Linked DNA regions of Arabidopsis thaliana. The protein of the gene in region 1 interacts with the protein of each later gene in a pairwise test. Each region holds a gene or a part of one and is shown in the gene's direction. Other genes may lie near its edges.

Region 1 (8,472 bases):
AAAGAATGAATTGCTACTGTGTTAAAAAATGATAAGTTGTTTTAAGTTTGTTTTGGTTTTGATCCAAAAAAGATGTTGAGATAGAAAAGGACTATTGTATATTTTTCTGAAATTATGTTGTACTAGATTTTATCCCGCGGTATACCGCGGTGACAATTTAACTTTTTAAAGTTAGTATAATTTTTTTTTTGCAAATTGAATCTATATATAATATATTTTTATTTTATAGTTTACAATTGTTATTAAGTAACGTCCTGCCAAACCCGTCCCGCCAAACCCGTCCCGTAAAAAAACTATTTATTTATATTAATGTTGATCTTATTTATGATATGTTTATAAATCATTGTCTAAATATTTTTGTCGATGCGGGACGTTGAACCCACACATTTTTTGCTAATTTGTTAATATATGTTTATTTTTAAAATTTTGAATTATAAAATATGACGGAAAAAATTAAGATTTTTTTAAAATTCTATATATTATATAATGATGTTAAAAAATTGTAATATATCGAACTTTTTATAAGTTTAAATATTAATAATGTTTTATAAATTTTAAATATATAAATAATAATATTTAAAAAAATTAATATTTTTGCTTATAAGGTAATGACATAATAACTCTAAAAGCAAGGATTTAGAAGATTTAAATCTTTAATTAAATATTTTCATTAATAAATAATTAATGTCAGTGACATGACATATTAAATAAGTTCAAATACAAAATTTATTTATTTAAACAAAAAACGTTCAGTAAAAATAATATTTATTTAACAAAAAAATTTGTTTTAAAATATTGTTAGCAAATATGTTTATGCTAATTTTAAAGGATTGATTTGAAGTTTGGTGGGATTAAATTTGATTGATAATGTGATTGACAATTTAAATCAAAAATTTAAAATAAAATTAATTATTTTTAAAAAAAGATTTAATGCTAATGACATTAGATTGTAAATAAGTCCAAGTTCATGATTTATTTGCTAAAATAGCTGTAAAAATGTATATATAGATTTGTTCATCTATTTCTTTAATATTTTTGTAAAGATAAGTGACTCATAAATCGCACTAGTAGATTACGTTAATTGAGCAAATACAAATATTTGGCGATGTCCATATACTAGCACCTAAGAAGTAAAGTCCTTGTATTCGTATTACGTTAATATTTCAATTTTTAATGTTAATTTGAAATCATCCCGAAGAATCCAGAGATCTTGAACGTTGAGTATGTGGTTTTTAATTTTTAATCAGTGGTAAATATTTGTGAACCACAAAAAGTAAAAAGTCCATGTCTAGTTTTTGAATTGTTAACTGTTCATATTACGAAGTTGTTTATATAAAATACCAAAAAAAGGAGATATTTTAGAATATCTCATATGGTTTTTGTTCACATACATTTTCTTTGTTTTTGCTTGTTCTATCTCTCTGTCTTTAATGCCGTTCTCGACTCTCGAACCGATCAAGCGTTGCACTAACATGTGCCTTCGCTGACCGATAGAGCTACAAGAGTTAGGCACCACAATCTCATCTTTTAACACTAAACTAACAATACAAGATAAAGTAACATATATCTGAATAAAGACAATTTATATGTATAATAAACTAGTGTACTGGAAAGAAACGTTTAACATAAGTACATAACATATGATTATATTTAATGATGCTGAGAACAAAAGATACTTAGGAATAAATCTAATGTTCATCGTTATAAGTTATAACACAAAGCATTAAAAAAAAACGTTATACTTAAGTCCCAAATTTTGGATCTAACCATTAAGGTTGCTCTTAGAACACATAATATTCTCTGTTGTTACCTTGTTCTCTATCTGCTTTGATCAAGCTTCGTCATCACGTTGCGCACTAATGTGCAATCGTAGACCAACGGGCTACAAAAGCCAGGTGCCTCAATTGCTAAATTAGATGAATCTGAACATTTTTGTCAAGGAATTTAGGAAAAGTGACAAGAAAAGCAATATTAAATCCTATCCATATCCATTGAATTGAATGCATTTAAAAATTTAGAAGTTTTAAGATTTCAATTCTCCAATGACGAATCTATAAACTATCTCCTTTCTTTATATGTAATGTTTATAAACTATCTTCTTTATTTTATTACTTTGTTTTTGTTAAAGATATATTACCAATTTTAGTTATTATTGTCTGCTTCTCAGCTACAAAATTGTTTTCCTAATAAAGAATTAAAGATCTTATCCAATGTCCACACGTTTAGTATTTTTCTCCATCTACACAAAAAAAAGAAAAGAAAAGAAAAAGATATTTTAGAATATCTCACATGTGAAATGATCATGATCAACTTCTCTCTCTGTCTCTTCCATGCCTTGCTCGAGCATCGAACCTACCAAGCGTTGCACATTAATGTGCCTTCGCTGGCCAGGAGAGCTACAAGAGCTTGGCGCTGTCTCTGCAGCACATAGCTAATTTAAAGTTGATTCGTCAAATCCAGCAAACTTAGTTATAGAATAAAACATTTTTTGGCGTTTTGCCAAGGAAAAAAAAGGGGATTAGTTGGCTTCAAATAAACCAAAATTAGCTAAATGTTCATAGAGTAAATAAGTGAATGATCAACAGATAATATCATTATGCATGGAGTATGATCAAGAATACAGACTGAAAATTTATATTTACTCAAAATGAAACAATAAATAATACTGTCGAAATGAAATTTGATGCTAAACTAAGAAGTATATAATGAAGAAAACAAGTATTATCGCTAGTTAATTTTTATATGATTATGGTGTTAAAAAATAAAAATAAAAGTATATAAACACAAATATTGTATATTTTCGTGAAAATTTTAAAAGAAAAATGTTCTAAATTCTAGATTTCTTAGGTTGTCTGCTAAAATAATGTTAGCAGGTTTCTTAAAACCAAAAAAAAATTCATAAAATTTACTTGAAAGCATGATGATAGCTACTAAAAAAAATTCATAAAAAGATATTTAAAAATACCTTAAATGTTTATCTTTATATAACAACAAGACCTCTGCTGCTGCTATGCTTTCACTGGCTCTCTCTTTTCTCTTTTCGCCCAGCTCGAGCTTCGAACTAATCACACGTTGCACATTAATGTACCATCGCAGACCAGTGCGCTACAAGAGCCGGGCGCCAAAGTTACAACTTTTTACTAACTTAAAAACCTTTGGTCACCTATATAATAACTTCAATAATTCTTTTCTATTTTTGAGTCAAAAACATAATTCACTCCAACAGTAGTAGTAATTACTAGAGTTTCTTTGAGTTTTTTTTAATAATACAACAATTAACTTTACCATTTTATCTTTTTGAAAAAAGGTTTACCATTTTTTACTTCTTGTAGAGTTGTAGTAGTATTATCATAGTATGGTGCATGTGTGTTACTGTGTTAGGTGTGTATTGTTTTGTATATACGAAATAAATGTTTGGAGGCTTGGAAAATTTTTCAAGGAAAAAAAAATCACATCCATATGACCATATCTATTAATGAGCAACACTCATTTCATCATATAGATGCCGAGTGATCATTTAATACACTGTAAGAAAATTTAAAGCTTTCTGATTCCAAAATTCTCAAATCTTTTTATTACAGTGTCTTTCATATTCACTTTCTTACAAAGATTATTATTACCAAATTTAGTTACATGTCTGCTGCTGAGTTTCAAATAAATTATTGTCTTAATAAAGATCTTATCCTATCTCCACACACGTTTCCTCCTTTTTATTTCTCACTTTCAAGCTTAGAAAGAATATTCTTGTTCGATTTTTTTTCTCCCGAACATGATCTTTCAATCTCAACGACGATTTCTCAGTGACTAATACTACATTTGTATACATTCTTCATCATCATCATCATCATCATCTGTGTTTTTGTTCATATTCATTTTTCAGTTATCGTTTTCAATTTTTAAAACTTTTTTTCTTGGGTTTCACAAAATTTGTCGTTAATCGATGAATTTGATTGTTTTCAAGATCACCCATCTCTCGAATTCACGAAATCTCTCAGCTTTTCCGTGATTCTTGGTAAAAATTCACAAAATCGAAATTGGAGAAAGAAAGAAAAAATTAGGGTTTGAGGAAAAGCTTCGATTTTTCACACGATGAGTCATCACCGGCGAGATTCCGGCGGAGATGTAGTTCACGTGATTCCCACAAACAATCCTCCGCCGGATAATTGGTTTCCGAATCTCGGCGATAGTGCTGTTTGGGCGACGGAAGATGATTACAATAGAGCTTGGGCTATGAATCCCGATAACACCTCCGGCGACAACAATGGTCCACCGAACAAGAAGACTCGAGGCTCTCCGTCGTCTTCATCAGCCACGACTACTTCTGCTGCGAGCAATCGTACTAAAGCGATTGGGAAAATGTTCTTCAAGACGAAGCTTTGTTGCAAGTTTCGTGCTGGGACTTGTCCGTATATAACGAATTGTAACTTTGCTCATACGGTGGAGGAGCTTCGTCGTCCACCGCCGAATTGGCAGGAGATTGTGGCGGCTCATGAGGAGGAGAGATCTGGTGGTATGGGAACTCCTACAGTTTCTGTGGTTGAGATTCCACGGGAGGAGTTTCAGATCCCGTCTTTGGTGTCATCGACGGCTGAGAGTGGGAGATCTTTTAAAGGAAGACATTGTAAGAAGTTTTATACTGAAGAAGGATGTCCTTATGGAGAAAGTTGTACGTTTCTGCATGATGAGGCTTCGAGGAATAGAGAGAGTGTTGCTATTAGCTTAGGACCTGGTGGTTATGGAAGTGGTGGTGGTGGTGGAAGTGGCGGTGGTTCTGTTGGTGGTGGTGGTAGTAGTAGCAATGTAGTAGTGCTTGGTGGTGGTGGTGGAAGTGGAAGTGGAAGTGGGATTCAGATTTTGAAGCCTTCAAATTGGAAGACAAGGATTTGCAACAAATGGGAGATTACTGGGTATTGTCCATTTGGTGCTAAGTGTCATTTTGCTCATGGAGCTGCAGGTAAAGATTCTGCCTTTTGTTCGATTTCGTTTGCTTTATGAATGGAATGGTTAGGCCTGAAGATAAGGACGGGATTGAGTTCATAGGTCTCTAGTGGTTAGCCAAGTTTTTAGTGACTTCTCGTATGTTAGTTTAAACTTTAAACCAATGTTGCTTGATGAATGGGTTAAAGGTGACTAGAGATTGGACGCTGAAGCTCCAAGCTGAGTAAAATGGTTATTCGCTTATTCGCTGACCCTGTCGGGTTCTGTATCTTATGACACCGCTATCTTTGGGTTTTTGTTGGTCTGTGGTTACCATTTAGTCTGTTAGGTTATTTGTTAGAAGTTTTAGTCAACGGTGCTTCATGGTTAGACTAGTGAGAATGGTACTAAAGGTTATATAGGAGACTAACTAATGGATTGAGTGCTTATATCAGTTGAGCTCGCCGCAGGAGTACTGATAAACATTCATTTTTGGTCTGGTATTGTAATGAATCTGACGAGTTGTTGAATCTTAGGATAGAGTTATAGGTTTCTCGAATTCTCAAAATTTTGATAGATAATCTGTCTTACATTTGTGAAAAATGTTGAATCTTTGATAGTTTCTTATGGGAAACAATTTCTTAGAATTGTTGAACGATATGACCTTAGAAAGTTCCGTAGTCGTGTAGCTTTAAAGTTTTGAGTCTTTATGATTTGCAGAGTTACATAGATTTGGCGGAGGACTCGTGGAAGAAGAAGGCAAAGATGGAGTATCACCCAATCCGGACACAAAGCAAACAGTACAAAACCCCAAAGGACTATCAGACACAACAACACTTCTATCTCCAGGAGTACCTCATAATGCAGATGCCAGTTACCACACTGGAGTTGCATTGCAACGAGCGTCTAGTGCGGTTACACAAAAGCCTGGAATTAGAACTCATCAGAAGTGGAAAGGACCGGCGAAAATCAGTCGGATATACGGTGATTGGATCGACGATATTGAATGATGTTACCTCTTTCTTTTTTCTACACATTTAGATAACTGCTAAGAAAATTACAATCTCCCTTTTTTTGCATGGTACATTTTGTAGAGTTTGTATATGTGTAATCCTTGTATCTGTTGTTGTTGTTGTTTGTTGTTGTAGATTATGACTTATGTTATATTATCATCTTTCTTTTGTATCTTTTCCATATTTGATTTTTTAAAAATTTCATAATTTGATTATAAAGCCACAATTTTTTTTAATCATAACTAGAAGATCGATCACCGTAAAACTAGAATGTAGAATTAGATTAGAGCAAATTAATTGGCCACGAAGATAACACGTAGCTTTTGTCACCAAAGACTCGCTCAAAACTCTAAAAGCTTTGGCATATGTATGACCTTACCTTTCTCCTCATTTCTCTCTTCCCCATTGACATTACCCTTCCCACACGGCAACCTCAGAATAAACCCTTTCTTCTTCCTCAAGCTACCTATGAAACCAGTCACAATATTTCTGATCCGGCCGTTTCACTGCACGGTCTCAAAATGTCTATATCCACGACCGAGACAGACAATTTCAAACCAGTCCATACCCTCGTTTCCTCCCCGGTCACCATAGTCTTGACCGGTAGTCTTCTCTTCATCATTTTCACGGGGTTCTTCTCCTTCTTCTTCTGTGGATGTTTATTTAGGAAACTCATGAGGATTTGGAATAACCATCGAAACCGAAACCGTCCTAGTAACCTAATCCAACCGTCTAATCCACCTGAAAACCTCGGTCTCGACTCCAAGATCATTGAATCATTCCCTGAGTATCCTTATTCGGTGAAAGATCATGGGACGGATCAATGTTCCATTTGTTTAACAGAGTTTATGGATGATGACACTATTAGGCTCATTTCTACTTGTAATCACTCCTTCCACACGATTTGCATTGATCTTTGGTTTGAAGGACACAAGACTTGCCCTGTATGCAGGCGTGAGCTTGATGTAGAAGACCGGACATCGCTAGAAAAGCCGCTAGAAGTTCCTGAAATCGATCTAGTTAGATCTGAAATCCACGACGAGCCTTTGCCCCGTGACACAGTGACAATCATCGTTCACGAGGAGCATCCTAGTACTACTATTGGTAGTTTAGAGCATACAGATGAAATCGAAAGCTATGAAAGACGAATGAAAGCATCGAATTTGCGGTTTTGGAGGTCACATTCTACTGGACACTCTATAGTAGTTAAGACCGAAAACGAACAAGAAGAAGAAGAAGAAGAAGAAAAAGATGAGATTAAGATACGTATTGAGATCTCTGGAGAATGTCAGTTTGAAGATCACAAGATGACTTTACCAAACAGAAAGTTGTATTGCGTTAGGGGAACTTACTCTGTAGGATAGAGCCTGAGAATGTGAATTGTCTTGGTTGATATATCATCTATAATAGATCCAAGACCGGAATTAGATTCTAGGTTTTGATATATTCTTTGTTTCGGCCGTTCCATTTTTGTAATTTTTTGACACTATAGGTTATAGTTATACATATAGAAGATGTTGAAGATTGTTGTAATGTTTGTACTTAAATTCTCATTATTCAGTACCAATCATACTTTCCTTTTTTCATTTGTGGACTTCATAAAATTCTAAAAATATTTTTAAATATATGTCTTATATATATAACATAAAAAATTAAGTTGCATTTTATCGTTCCGGTTTGATATGGGAGGTGTCAATTTGATAGAAATAGAAATATTGGGAATAACGTGATATAAATCAATAGAATAGGGGAACGACTAAGAGTTTATAATATTACAATGTAAGACCTATATTTTACCATTTGTTAAAAAAAGAGAACCAACCAAACTTGGAGAGAGAAATGGCGACGGCATCGGAAAATTCAAGAGGAATCAGCGGCGGTGATCGAACGGCGAAAGCTGTCGTCGCCGATCAGATTTCACAAGCCGTAAATTCCACTGCTAACCTTCTTCATCTGATGCGTCAATCGTCTTCTTCTCAGGTATATCTTCTTCAAACCCTTTTAACGCGTGCTCATTTAGTCACCGTTGGATTAAATAGGATCTAGGTTGAATAATTAGGGTTTGGTTTGATTCTGATGATAGAAAATGTGGATTTGGTGAATTGTTTCAAACATAGGTGCAACAGTTTCGTAGTTGTCCTATTTCATTGGAAACTAGTTATCTCCTCCTGTTTCATGTAATAAGACCACAATGAAACACAATGTGAGGTTATTAGGATGAGCTTTAGATGTTTTTTTTTTAATCTCTAATTATGAGTATTCGCTGTGTGTAGGCTCAGTTGGCAAAGCTCCCGAAGAATCTGTTGGCGAAAGCTTCACTGACTAAGGCCACTGGACAGGTATGTATGTTATGGTGTAGAATGTATGATGACATAAGTAAGTACTGTGTGTCTTAAGCATTTTTTTTTACATTTTGTTAAGGCGTTGGCGCAGCTTCCTCAAGTGATTTCATCTCTAGATGCTCATATAGAAAGCGGATTGCACAGGTTTGATCTTCTTTGACATGCACTCATCATCAAATCTTGTATCACTTAGAGTTGAA
Region 2 (8,085 bases), on another chromosome or scaffold:
GAGCGGGAAATCCGGAGGTTGCTAGGCTGGCAGTGTTTGCCGGTATTTTCCTTTGGTTCCTAGAGGCTACCATTTGTAGCACACTTCTGTTCACTTGCAAAAATATTTTTGGCTACGCGTTCAGCAATAGCAAAGAAGTTGTGGACTATGTCACGGAGCTATCTTCGCTGCTTTGTCTTTCATTTATGGTCGATGGATTTTCTTCAGTGCTTGATGGTATTAAGATCAAACCCTTCAATTAGTGAATGATAAAAAATCCTATCTCGCGACTCAAATATGACTTTTATGAAAAAGGGGTTGCTAGGGGAAGTGGGTGGCAAAATATTGGAGCTTGGGCAAATGTGGTGGCTTACTATCTCCTAGGAGCTCCTGTTGGATTTTTCTTAGGATTTTGGGGTCATATGAACGGCAAAGGGCTATGGATTGGTGTGATCGTTGGGTCCACTGCTCAAGGGATCATACTAGCTATAGTCACTGCTTGCCTGAGTTGGGAGGAGCAGGTCAATAGCAATCTTAAATATATTTTTGGACATTTGATGAATCTTTTTTTTACCCCATACTGAAGTTGTTTACAATTGGAAATTGCAGGCTGCCAAGGCCAGAGAAAGAATAGTTGGAAGAACATTGGAGTGAAAATCACACACTTTTAAACGTAACTGATATAGTTGTACTCCTTCCGTTTAGTATACACGAAATATAGAAGAATACATGGTCACACATGCCAAATATACACGAATAAATGTAAGTTTAAGGTTTTCACACACGTATTAAAAAACAAATAAATTTATTAGCTTAAACTTTGTCAATATATTTTCTATAAAGTTATTGATCAATACATTAAATCCGTGGGATAAAGCTGTAATGTATCAAACAATTGCATTGAAAATATAAAACAATATATATTTTAAAATAAATTTTTTTTTTAAAAATGACACTTAATCTTGTATGCGTTTTATCTTTCTAATGATTAAATATCTATGTATAAGTTTAACATCAAGTAAAAATTTGAGTGACTAATTTATGTTTGATTGGATTTTCCACAGTTTATCTTATAAACTGAACTCTCATATGGCTAAGATATTTTACTTTCTTTCATTTAACAGTTACGGGGCGATTGAATGTTCTTTTAACAAGGTCTGATTTGAACGGACATTAGTTTTGTTTATACAACAATGTGTTTCTCTATATACAGAATATAACTTATATATAGTAAATTGTTTATGTTGATCCCAGTAAAAAAAGATAAAAAGAGAAGAGATGGTGCTACTGAGGAACCAAGAAAGAACTGGAAGTCAACAATCAACTCATACTCATGTGTCTCTCCTTTTTAATGAGAGTGACTAACCAACGATTTAAAATAAATAAAAAGAGTGGTTCAAATGTAAATAATTCAAACTACTAAGACTTGGTGGAATTCATGTGAAGGAGACAAAAGTTCAATCTCATGGAGAAACAGAATTCCATTGAAGAAGAAAAAATGTGAATAACCCTAACTTTTAGAATGCTGACCTAATTAATGCACTTAATCAGCTTCGTAAACAGTTTCTACTTGTGAATTCTTGCCAACTTTTCGAGAACACCAGGATATATAGTTGAGAATAATGCTAGCAAATCGTCTAAAAGTTTCTAGAGTACATATCTAGATTCGTCTTAATAATGCTAAATATTTATCTTCAACAACATTGTTTTCATTTTTCAATACAATAAAGTTGAATTAAAATCATTTTTTTAATCTACTAAGACTGTAATTTAACAATATTTTTAAACATATTGTACTGGTTTAGAGGCGATTTATCTTGTTGGAAAAGAAGTTTGGAAGATTCTGTCTTGAGTTCCATTTCATTAAAACAAAGTCATCACATTTCTGGTATGTGAGACGAAGCTATGGTCCATGATTAACCCTCTATGATAGATTATGATAGATGTAGGGGAGTGATTTAGCACCACTCAGTTAACTCGACTCTAACCTCAATAAACAAAACCTTCGAAATGTTTTGTCGGGCTCGGCACATTTAGCGTGAAAATGAGTTTTTTTTGTGTGAAAATAGATAGATCGAGATTGACTTAACATAAAATGGAAAGATTGACTCGAAAATACTTTCAATATCATCAATATTGAGGAGGAGAAAAGAAAAAAATACCGAAGATAAAAATTTTGGAAGGAAAACATATTCGAAGACCTAGATGGAGAAGTATAAATACAAATGAGCAGTCGCAAAGTGGGGCATCCACAATTCGTCTCTAAAGATCCCTAGACATCCAAATTCACAAGAAAAAAAAAACTAACTTGTTATCAAAGTTAGTTCAATCTCTTTGTAATTGTATCAGTTCGTTCTTGAGCTTAATAAATAAAATTATTTCCGCGACACTACTTCCCTTAATTAAGCTTGCCGGTTTATATGTGCAGATTTGACTCACACAATAGACATTAGACAATATAGTATGTTTTTGAAATATATTTTTTGAGGTTATTTCATGATAAGTAATACTGCAAAATATAAATTTTTCAAACATAAATTTATACATTGAACCTCATATCTATTTGTTTCTATTATTTAATTTATTTTAATGACAATGTGTTCTATACTATATTTAAATTTTAGTAAATAATTTTCTTAAATTATATAATTTTTCAATACTTTCTTAATAAACTTCTAGATGTGAAATAGTTTTATAAAAAAAAAAATACATATTCTGGTTATATTTTTTCATATAGAAAAGAAATGGTGTGATTCATATTTTTTCAAGTTTTCTAAGAAATCAAATAATGAGTAAGTCAACAAATAAAATCTCATATAGTGGCTAAGAACTTGAAGTCATTTAGTGAGAAGGAAACCAATAAAAAAATTTACCTATAAATTAAAGGGCAATTAAATGTAAGAACAGTTTAAATAATTAAAAATTATTAACTAAAGTAATGAATCTATTAATTAATTGAAAATAAATATATGTGAAAGAATATTTGTACAAAAAAGCAAATAAAATATCTAGTAGATATATTTCTGAAATAAGTATTTAGAAATTTAATTTTTTGTTTTACTTGATTTTTCAAAATTTTATACCAAAATACAATTTATTTTAATCTTATAATTTTATTTCTAATCAAGGTGTTCCAATTTCATTTCGCTAAATGTTATAGAACCGATCCCAATACGAACGCGAACCTCACTTATCAGCTCTCAATCTCTCAACTCGAAGTTTGTTTGTGTGAATCAAAGAAGAAACAGAGAACAACACACAAGAATTTGTTACCCAGTTCAATCTAATCTGTGTGATTAGATCTACGTCTGGAGCCAGATAGATCCGGCAATCCACTATATGAGATGTTTACAAACTTCTCTGAGCTCAATACAAGATCAATGAAGAACCCTAATTTTCTGGGTTTAAGAGAGATCGTAACAACTTTCTAACGGAATGAAGAAGAAGAAGATAACAGACTTCTATTTATATGTGTTTGACTTCGAGCATCGAAGCCTCTTTCAGAATGAGAGTCTTCCAATCATAACTTCCTTCTTCTGTAAACCAAAGCGAACCGTTTCAATAACCAACTCCAATCTGCTGTTAAACCGAATGTCATCAGACCAACATTAAACCGGAATTGGATCATATTCATAACATTATATCAAACAAGGAAAAAAAAACTATTCACTATTGTCGGCAATAATTAACTTTTTGAAAAATCGAAACAACAAGGCCACCACGTCTACAAAAATCAGAAACCAATTCATGCACATGATATATGTGTTTAATAAATATAATTTATATGGACCCTCTTAATAATATAATTTATATGGAGCATTTATTATTATGGGTACATCATATCATATCTGTTTTTACCTTAATAAATAGAATAACATTTTTTTCTGTGACACACATTGAAGAGAGAAAACTATTTGTCCCACAGTCAATTACGGGTCTAAAATTTGGTAGTAACAATAATACTTTCATATGCATATCTTAACATGAGAAAAAAATGTTTTCACTGGTCGAGCAGAGTTATATATATATTTAGATATTGACGAAAAGTCTTCATTGACAATAAATTACATTGGTTTCGTCCATCAGTACAAGATTGGATATGATCTAAAAAATCAGAGGCAAATCAATCAAGATTAAGAAGACGACAATGGAAGAGCCATTTCTTCCGAGAGACGAGCAGTTAGTCTCTTGTAAATCCACATGGCAAAGTGGTCAGGTCACCGTCGAGCTGAAGAAAGTGAGCCGCTTGGCCGCTCCTATGGCCACCGTAACCATAGCTCAGTACTTATTGCCTGTCATCTCAGTCATGGTCGCCGGCCACATCGGCGAGTTGGAGCTCGCCGGTGTCGCGCTTGCCACGTCTTTCACAAACGTTTCCGGCTTCAGCATAATGGTAATTATGCTATTACTCTCTCCTCTTCATTTCAAGAACTCAATTAACTTTCCAATATTGAAATATTGCTGCATTCTTTTTTGTGTAGTTTGGGTTAGTTGGTGCATTGGAAACTCTTTGTGGCCAAGCCTATGGAGCAGAACAATACGAAAAAATCGGAACCTATACATACTCTGCAATGGCTTCCAACATACCAATTTGTTTCATCATATCAATTCTATGGATTTACATCGAAAAGCTCTTGATCACTCTCGGGCAAGAGCCTGACATCTCTAGAGTCGCTGGCTCCTACTCATTGTGGCTCGTACCGGCTTTGTTTGCCCATGCTATTTTCTTACCACTGACTCGGTTTCTGCTAGCACAAGGGTTGGTTATTTCCCTGCTATACTCTGCCATGACCACCCTTTTGTTCCATATTGCGGTTTGCTGGACTTTGGTTTTCGCGCTTGGTCTTGGAAGCAATGGAGCTGCTATTGCTATTAGTTTGTCTTTCTGGTTTTACGCTGTGATACTCTCATGTCATGTGAGATTTTTCAGCTCTTGCGAGAAGACTCGCGGATTTGTATCAAATGATTTTATGTCTAGTATCAAGCAGTACTTCCAGTACGGAGTCCCATCCGCTGGATTGATTTGGTAAGTAAACCATTTTCACGTGTCTTGTTGGTTAAGTTACAATACACCGATGCTTCCTCTTATCTTGCTTGCATTTTTTTGTCTTCTTTGATAGCTTAGAATGGTGGCTGTTTGAGCTACTCATACTCTGCTCAGGTCTTCTCCCAAACCCAAAACTCGAGACATCTGTTCTTTCGATTTGGTAAGTATCATATTACTTCTTTTTATCCTATGTGTTCTCTTTACCAAAATGTATTAATCTTATGTCTTTCATGTTATCAGTCTTACAATAGGAACTTTACACTATGTGATTCCATCTGGAGTCGCGGCGGCTGTGAGGTATGATCTCAACTCTCAAACCAGAACAAGTGTTCAACAATTCCTTTCTCAACATTAGTCATTTGGTTTCTTGAAGCACACGAGTGTCAAACAAATTGGGAGCTGGAAATCCTCAAGTTGCTAGGGTTTCCGTATTGGCAGGGCTTTGTCTCTGGCTTGTAGAGTCAGCTTTCTTTAGCACACTTCTCTTCACCTGCCGAAACATCATAGGCTACACATTCAGCAACAGCAAAGAAGTTGTTGACTATGTTGCTGACATATCTCCTTTGCTCTGTCTCTCCTTCATCCTCGACGGATTAACGGCAGTTCTAAATGGAGTGGCTAGGGGATGTGGGTGGCAACACATTGGAGCTTTGATCAACGTGGTGGCTTATTATCTTGTAGGAGCTCCTGTTGGAGTTTACTTAGCTTTCAGTCGTGAGTGGAATGGAAAAGGACTCTGGTGCGGTGTTATGGTTGGATCCGCGGTGCAAGCCACTTTACTGGCTATCGTCACAGCCTCCATGAACTGGAAGGAACAGGTTAGAGTTTGTTACATTCTAGTTTTTTGAATGCTCTGAAGTAACTGGACTCTATTATTTGCAGGCTGAGAAAGCAAGGAAGAGAATAATCTCTACTGAAAATGGATTGGTTTAAATAAAGGTTGTTCCTAAGAGCTATCTCAAAGTATTTGCAAGTCATGTGCAAAAAAACATGTAATGTTATTTTGATGGGTTATAATATTTTTTTGTAAAACTTTTATCCAGGATTTATACATTTTTTCTTGAGTTGATATTTTCGTTAGTTAGAAAAATTATTCGAATTGCACATGCTGAAAGATGATTTATTTATTTTCTTCAAACTTTAATATACAAATGTAACAAGTAAATAAAAACTCATTAGTTCCAAACACCATGGGATTAAAAATGGCCTCAGCTGCAATCAGTCCTATCTTTATAAAAAACAACTATGTGAGTCCTATCCATTATCCCAATAAGTCCACTAAAAATGGCCTGTATGGCACAACCAGATTTAACACTTAGTATTAACTTTAAAATTCACAAAAGAAAATAATCTCTCTTATATATGGTCCAAACATAATAACTTTACACTAATGATCCATAAGAGTTTTCACATACATGTTTCTTGACGTAAATCATTAAAAATATATAGATGAAAAATACTTATAGAAGATTCAAATTCCACATAGTCCACTAATGTTATGTCATTTAATTAGTAGGTTTAGTGGTGAAAACTTAATACGAATTCCTACCTTTTTATCAGCCTCAGCTGCACGTTTGAACTGTCTAGTTGTTATTTAAACCAAAAAAATGTTTTTGTTAATTAAGACATTTTTCCTTTTTAATATAAACTGTTAAAACAAACTGTCTCTTTTTTTTTTGTAACAATGTCATTATCTTTTGTTTAATCTATGATATGATTAGAACTTGATTCCCAAGTAATTATTCGAGTTGCCTTTGTTGTTTAGTCATAGATCATTGGAACGTGATCCCCAAGTGTATTATCATGTATTTCCAAAATGCTGATATTGGACGACTGTTGAGTGTTGACGACGACGTCCACCATTTGTATTTCAAAATGACCGAATTGTCTCTTTTGTTTGTCTTTGTTATTAGGTTATTGTGATATCTGACTTTTATGGAAGTAATAAAAAGTTTAATATACATGACTTTTATAACAGTTTTATAAAACTGTTATAACTTGTGAAGTTGTTAGAAGATTTTGTCATTTGCAAAAAACATGATGTATGTTCCTTTAACAATAAAAAACATGATGTATGTTCACCTTAAAAAAAACTATTGTTTTCCGGAAACTTATTAAGAGAAACTATACAACGTCATTGCTGAAAACTTTGATGTATAAACTTTAGTAATACTTTATACTTTATCATGTAGACTTTTATAATATACTTTTTGAGGATCTTCGTGGAAAATATAGAATTCCACTGGTCGAGCTAAGAGTCATGTAATTTGAATATTCTATTCCCACAATTTCCAAAAAAGAAAAGTCTACGTTGACATTGACATTGGTTTCGTCGTCTGTCTAGTGTCTATAAAAGATGGAAGAATGTCCGCATAAATTATAGACAATTAAAGTACTAGACAAGGCTTTCAACACAAAACAATAACAAACAAAAAATAAGGACAAAAAAAAAATTAACAACCTAAAACAATGGAAGAGCCATTTCTTCCGCAAGATGAGCAGATAGTCCCCTGTAAAGCCACATGGAAAAGTGGTCAGCTCAATGTCGAGCTGAAGAAAGTGAGCCGCTTGGCTGTTCCTATGGCCACCGTGACCATTGCACAGTACTTATTGCCAGTCATCTCAGTCATGGTCGCTGGCCACAACGGCGAGCTCCAGCTCTCCGGTGTCGCTCTTGCTACCTCCTTCACAAATGTCTCCGGTTTCAGCATTATGGTAATTATGTTATGACTACTCTCTCCTCTTATGTTCAAAATCAAGTTGACTCTGAAATCTTGATAAATACTTCAATTCTTTGTGCAGTTTGGGTTAGTGGGTTCACTAGAAACTCTTTCTGGCCAAGCTTATGGAGCCAAACAATACGAAAAAATGGGAACCTATACATACTCCGCAATTTCCTCTAACATCCCTATATGTGTCCTCATATCAATTCTCTGGATATACATGGAAAAACTCTTGATCTCTCTCGGACAAGACCCTGACATCTCCAGAGTCGCTGGCTCCTACGCCTTGCGGCTCATACCGACTTTGTTTGCCCATGCGATTGTCTTACCACTGAC

What was found. Proteins that work in one complex are often made in the same cells at the same time.
Region 2: the proteins of AT1G32360 (region 1) and AT2G04080 interact in a protein complementation assay, tested with the Arabidopsis thaliana proteins (one large-scale study listed by BioGRID).

Annotation. Positions count from the first base shown.
Region 1 is NC_003070.9:11,669,236-11,677,707, forward strand, and holds AT1G32360 (Zinc finger (CCCH-type) family protein), read left to right. Parts: upstream 1-3,530; 5' UTR 3,531-4,089; coding exon 4,090-4,954; intron 4,955-5,637; coding exon 5,638-5,927; 3' UTR 5,928-6,152; downstream 6,153-8,472. Other genes in the region: ATL1F (RING/U-box superfamily protein), read left to right, coding at 6,296-7,294; TOM2B (tobamovirus multiplication 2B), read left to right, coding at 7,770-7,910, 8,204-8,269, 8,352-8,416.
Region 2 is NC_003071.7:1,355,201-1,363,285, reverse strand, and holds AT2G04080 (MATE efflux family protein), read left to right. Parts: upstream 1-3,882; 5' UTR 3,883-4,126; coding exon 4,127-4,372; intron 4,373-4,460; coding exon 4,461-5,005; intron 5,006-5,099; coding exon 5,100-5,186; intron 5,187-5,266; coding exon 5,267-5,323; intron 5,324-5,399; coding exon 5,400-5,844; coding exon of another isoform or gene 5,845-5,874; exon of another isoform or gene 5,875-5,908; coding exon 5,909-5,959; 3' UTR 5,960-6,130; downstream 6,131-8,085. Other genes in the region: AT2G04090 (MATE efflux family protein), read left to right, coding at 1-216, 295-500, 589-633; AT2G04070 (MATE efflux family protein), read left to right, coding at 7,496-7,741, 7,829-8,085.